2 linked regions of the Rattus norvegicus genome follow. The protein of the gene in region 1 purifies or fractionates together with the protein of each later gene. This does not show direct contact. Links are inferred from orthologs where the notes say so. Each region holds a gene or a part of one and is shown in the gene's direction. Other genes may lie near its edges.

What was found. Proteins that work in one complex are often made in the same cells at the same time.
Region 2: the proteins of Mpdz (region 1) and Plekha2 purify together in Homo sapiens (affinity purification with western blotting; 3 studies listed by BioGRID and IntAct, with this or other methods). This does not show direct contact. The link is inferred for Rattus norvegicus from reciprocal best matches to the Homo sapiens genes MPDZ and PLEKHA2.

What each region holds. Positions count from the first base shown.
Region 1 is NC_086023.1:100,814,063-100,816,504, reverse strand, and holds part of Mpdz (multiple PDZ domain protein), read left to right. Parts: intron 1-231; coding exon 232-344; intron 345-1,070; coding exon 1,071-1,194; intron 1,195-2,442. UniProt on the Homo sapiens protein: Member of the NMDAR signaling complex that may play a role in control of AMPAR potentiation and synaptic plasticity in excitatory synapses. Promotes clustering of HT2RC at the cell surface.
Region 2 is NC_086034.1:73,683,222-73,686,721, forward strand, and holds part of Plekha2 (pleckstrin homology domain containing A2), read left to right. Parts: intron 1-41; coding exon 42-182; intron 183-700; coding exon 701-847; intron 848-1,338; coding exon 1,339-1,407; intron 1,408-1,710; coding exon 1,711-1,781; intron 1,782-3,500. UniProt on the Homo sapiens protein: Binds specifically to phosphatidylinositol 3,4-diphosphate (PtdIns3,4P2), but not to other phosphoinositides. May recruit other proteins to the plasma membrane.

The sequences.
Region 1 (2,442 bases):
GAAGCCATGATTAGAAAACAAAGAAAATTATAGAACTTAATTTTGGATATCTGAGGTTCCTGGGCATTGTGAAGTTTCTTTCTTTTCAATAATGTTTTAATCATTTCTGTGTTTAAGTAGTCAGTCAGTAAAAACTCTCATTTTAATCTAAGTTTTTCTTTGGAGTGGTCTTTTGGGATCTCTTGGGTTAGGTGAACATGCGTTTCCTCCTCTCACTGTGCCCACACACAGGTGGTTGCTGGAGGAGATGTGAGTGTGGTCACGGGTCATCAGCAAGAGCTTGCCAATCCTTGCCTTGCTTTCACTGGGCTGACTTCCAGCACTATATTTCCGGATGACTTAGGGTGAGCAATACATTATCGGGTGTGTCATTTATTCCTTGAGACAGTTGCAGTCTCTGTCCCATGTTCCGGGCACTCACACTGAGGTAAAATAAATGGAGAGGGCATATAAAGTAGAGAGTGTCAATGCTTCTAGTCAGCTAGTCAGATGGGTGGGTTACAGACCACTGCCTGGTCAGAACTGCCTCGAGTATAAACAGTTACCTAGTAAGAGATGAATAGACTACAGACAGCTATTCACCCTACCACACTTCCTGAATTTTCAGTTTTGATATTTTTGAGAGGATATTTTCTTGCTCTTGTTCATTGAACTTTGATTGAAAATACTGAATATATTAGAAAATAACACTAAATATAAAAGCATTGGGAAAGATGAAAAGTAAAGAGAGACATTTAAATTTTCAAGTTATTTGATGCTGCCCTCATTTTGTTCACAATTGACTTTCCTGTCTGAAGTTGAAACTATTGTTTATGACCTTGCATTATGGCCCTTTGAACTTTCATCCCCTCACAATAAGCTGGAAAAAATGAGAATGAGAGTTTCTGTGCCATGAGAACATGTAATAAATAGCATCTTCCTTATCTGTAAATGCAGAATATGCTAGCTATAGTCTGAGTCAGGTAAAGCACAGAGCCAAGGGTTGGGGTGGGGGTGTTTGTGCGCACATGCATACATATGCGTGTGCACATTCAGTTGGGAAACCTTTTTTCTCCTTTCCTTTTCTGTAGCCCTCCACAGTCTAAGACCATAACACTAGACCGAGGACCAGATGGCTTAGGCTTCAGCATTGTAGGTGGCTATGGCAGCCCTCATGGAGACTTACCAATTTATGTTAAAACAGTGTTCGCAAAGGTAAGCTTGCAGTTGTTAACCACTCTGTTCCTTACTAAACATTAATTAACACTGGTCAGCAGCTGGCTTATTAGTTTATGGCCTGAGGTGATGCCAAATGGTTAACACTGATATTTTCTTTTGAAATCCCTGCAGGAACAGGTCATTAAATATTTTTGTCCTGTTTGAGGTTTCATTATGTTTAGAGAAAACTAGTTCAAATTGTAACTCCATGGAAACTCTCAGCAATATACATGACATAATCAATGAAGCCTGTCCTTTCCATTTAATAGCAAGTCACATACGATTATCTTTGGAAAATGGACTTGCATAAAATGTCTACTGTCGAGGACTGGCACGCTTTCCCCTGTGTTCCTTTATAGTTGTGAAACCTAAAGTAGGTACTGAAAAATACACAGAATTAATCTCACATCATGACTAGGGTGTTTATACATTTGAAGAGTGGTGAGCAGACCTGCTGTCTACAATAAAGCATTATTTGCAATCAAGGAATTCAATTACTTTGGAAAAGAAAGCTCTGTATATAGTTGTAGTCATCTACTAAACTATCTTGGGAATGTTTAGAATAAGAATAAAGAGACCGTAGTTTTGATGAAGTCATTAAAATAATAGAAATGCATATAATGGTTGATAATGTGTTATTAAGACCTATTTTCGAAGACTACAAAATTGAATAATGTTTCCTGCAGAAGAAAACTAAGAATCTAACATTTTACAGCACAAAATAGTGGAGTGAACATCAGGCCTACAGAGACTTCGTTCGGTCTCTTTAAATTCTATGGCCCTTGATTTTATGGAAGTTCCTATTATTTTAGAAAAATACTACTATTTTCAACCAATTTAAAGTGCTGTTCCGTGGCAAACTAGCTGTAGGCTTAATTTGTGAGATTTTTTTTTAAAGTTATTGGTATATCCAAAAATACAGACAGCATTTGCCAATGAATAGAAGCACCATGCAATCCTTTCCCTCGGCCTAGGAACAATTTATTTCAGGCTTGCTAGTTAGAACATATTTTAAGAATTTCATCATTATACTCTCCTCATTAACTTTTCCATATTTTTAATCTTATATTTAATTGCATAATTATCGTCTATGTGCGTGCCTTAGATGGAGTTCTTTTTTAAATAGTGATGTCTGTGTTTAATCATAATTATTTAGGGCCTATAGGAATAAGAAGAATCTCTTTTCCCTTGTAGTAAAAACCAAGACGGCTTGAGCAGGCTTTCCTTGCAAAGCGTAGAAAGGAT
Region 2 (3,500 bases), on another chromosome or scaffold:
AGCTTTCTATTTTTTGCTGACCATATCACCGTTCTTCCTAGGTACCCAAGGCTGGGACGGTACCCGTGGCCACAGAAGTTCTCAAAAACCTGACAGCTCCTCCCACCCTAGAGAAGAAACCGCAGGTGGCCTACAAGACTGAGATCATCGGGGGAGTGGTGGTGCAGACACCCATCAGCCAGGTGCCATTGCCTAGGGGTGCCGTGCAGGGACAGTGAAGACATGTCCATTGTGCCCAAGGACCAGCCCAAAGCATTAGAATGGGGGAGCTAGTGAAGAAGATGACCCGGGCGATTCAGTGCAGGGTGGATGTGGTCGGTGCCAAGGTAGAGGTTGGGGCCATGACATCTTGAGGATGTGCGGCCTCTGTGCTTTTGCTTAAGACCCAGGCAGTGAGCACTCATAAAATGTAAAGGCAGTGGGGCTGAGGGAGGCAGTGGGGTAAAAGTCTGCAGCCCTGTCTGTGTGCTTGTGCCTTCTACGGTTCTGTGTTGCCTCCTTCCTCTTCCTCCTCTTCTTCTTAGCCATTGTTGTTCTTCGGGAAAACACTCAGTAGAGCACAGACTAGTTGGAGTCAAAGTCGGTTCTTAGTTCTTTGACATTGTACCGAAAAAGCCAGAGGTGTGGCGGGGAGGTTGGGAGGGGCTGGTCTGCGCAGGGGAGTGGCCGGGGTGTTAACAGTGCCTCTGTTTCCTCGTAGAATGGTGGGGATGGGCCGGAAGGGAGCGAGCCAGGGACTCACGCCTTCCTGCGAAGGTCTCAGAGCTACGTCCCCACGTCAGGCTGCCGTCCCCCCAGCGGGCCTTCTCTTATTAAGAGTGGCTACTGTGTGAAGCAAGGGAACGTGGTGAGTGCCAGCATGGGGGCCACGCTGGGGTTCTGATGCCCCTGGGACCCAGAGAGCACGGATGGAGCAGAGGACGGTGAGAGGAGGAGCTGTACCCCTCTGTGCTAACTGCCACTCGGAACTGGCCATTAGTCCCCCAGAAGGCTTGCCTGTAGCCCCATCTTATGAAGGCATTTTCTCAATTGAGGTTCCCTCCTCTCAGACTGTGTCAAGTTGATTTAAAACTAGCTGGCACAGTAGAAGCTTCCGGTGGCAGCAGAGAAGGACCTTCAGGTGCTCTTCAGGCATTAGGTGCTTGGTCCCTGGGAAGATGGGAGCTCAGATGGAGGCCTAGGCCTTTCACTGACTTCATACTCCAATTGTTCCTGTTCTTTGTCCCTGCTGAAGATGGCAGCCTGGCTTCCATGGTGTCTGGGCATTTTCTGTGACAGTGCCAGTCCCGGCTCTGGAGACCTGTCCTTGATGGTTTGACTCCTTGTTTTTCCTTTCAGCGGAAGAGTTGGAAACGGCGCTTCTTTGCCCTCGATGACTTTACCATCTGCTACTTCAAGTGCGAGCAGGTAGGTAGAGGGTTCGGGTCCCTCCTGAGAGGTCTGAGAAACAGAGAGTGAGCATGAGTGGAAGCCAGGCCCATGTAGACTTCCAAGCCACTTCTTGTCTTATCTCTGTCCAACCTGCGTCTCTTTATAATGTGATTATAAAAGGGCCCGGATGGCTGCCAGCGTCTGTGCGGTGAGCCGCTTTGGGGCTCTTCCCCGGATTCGGTTTTAGCCAATACTCTGAGAGAGGGGTGTTGGTGAACTGGCGTGGGTCACTGGGCCGTGTGCACAGCTCACCTGCCCATCTTCCGTCTTTCCCATCAGGATAGAGAGCCTCTGCGCACCATACCACTCAAGGATGTTCTCAAGACTCACGAGTGTCTGGTCAAGTCCGGGTAATTGCCTCTTCTTCTTCATTTTGAGGAGAGCCTCTGTTCATCTTGGAATCTTCATTGGCTACACTTTTGGGAGCTCTGTTGAAGAGCCTTCCCTAGAGAGTAGTGGCTTTCAACCTGAGGGTCACAGTCCCTTTGGGGGTATCAAATTACCGTTTCACAGGGGTTGCCTAAGACCTTCAGAAACAGAGATATTTACATTATGATTCATGACAGTACCAAAATGACAGTTACAAAGTAGCAGTGAGAATAATTTTATGGTTGCAGTCACCACACCATGTATTAAAGAGCCATAGCATTAGGAAGGTATAGAACCACCGACTTAGTGCCTCGTAGCTGATCCAGGGTTAAGATCGCACTGGACAAAGTGCCCTCTTCCCATTTCCCCATTCTTGCTCCCATGATGCCTATGTGCTAACTTCTGGTGACAGCAGAGAGTGGCACTTAGGTATCTCTCAAGGGTAGAGTCAGGTGTCAGGCCCTGGGTGTCAGGATGATGGGGATCAGAGAGAGACCAGGGCCTTCCCCTGGCTTCACACTTGCCCTTGTCTGAATTTCTCAGGCCTTTCCTCCTTTGTTCTTGATGTCCCCATTAACACAGGGGTGACTCATAGCATCCCCTGTTGCTACCACTTGACAGGCAGAACAAGTATTTTTATTTCGTTCCTCTTTCCACTAGGAGAGGCACCTTCTGAGAGCACTGTGTAGGATCCAGGACTTGACAGGAGACCGCCCCATCCCCATTCCTAAATTCAGAAATGAGTCTCAGTAGACCCCAAGCATATCTTTTTGGCCATGAGTTTGTAGTCCGTCCAGATTGTATGTTTGTATCTCTCCTTTCTGTAGGTCAGAAGGGGATCTATCAACAGTAGGCATCCTGCTCTCCTGTGAAAGCATAGCACAGCCCTTCATAAGCACACATGCTGTGTGACCCAGTGAATCGGGGTAGAAATGCTGTTCTGAGCTTCAGATAGCAGTTGGGGGGCGGTGGGCGCAGAGGACTGGAGAGGGCCCTAGGGATAATTTGCATTTTGTGAAAGTAGCTGTAGACATTGCCCCAAGTGTGGCTCTAGGGGGCAGAACTCAGCATGACTGGATCATGAGAGATGCCCAATTGCCCCCTGACCCTGGAGGGCCCGTGTAGAGAAGAAGCTACTCGAATGGACATGCTAGGGCAGCTTGGAGAGGTGGGGTAGTGGTTAGCCTGAGACTCTTGAAAACTCCCCCTACCTCTAACTCTACCCGAGTCACACTGGACTTGAGTGGAGAGGTGAAGTGCATGGGGAAGGCTGTGGCTTTGCGGCCTCAGCTCTGTTAGGCGGTGTCACCTCTCTGGGACCTTCGGGGGAATTCAGGACAGCTGTCAGCAATGATGGCTGTTGAACTGGATGCCGTTGAAAACAGCATGCAGCTGGGGCAGTGGATGGAAGGTGGGGAGGGCTCCCTCCTTGGTTGATTTCACCTCCTCAGTGGACTCTGGGACTTCTTGCATTTGCATGAATAATCTAGAAGGTTAGAACATTTAGCACTATGGTAGTTAGGTTTCCTTTTGCTGCTTCAAGACGCAATGGCCAAAGTGGAGCTTGGAAGGAAAGGACTTACTTGGCTTACACTTGCTTCCAAGTCATTGTTTATTATTGAAGGACGTCAGGACAGAAACCCAAACAGGCAGGGGCTGACGCAGAGGCCATGGAGGGGTGCTACTTACTGCCTTGTTCA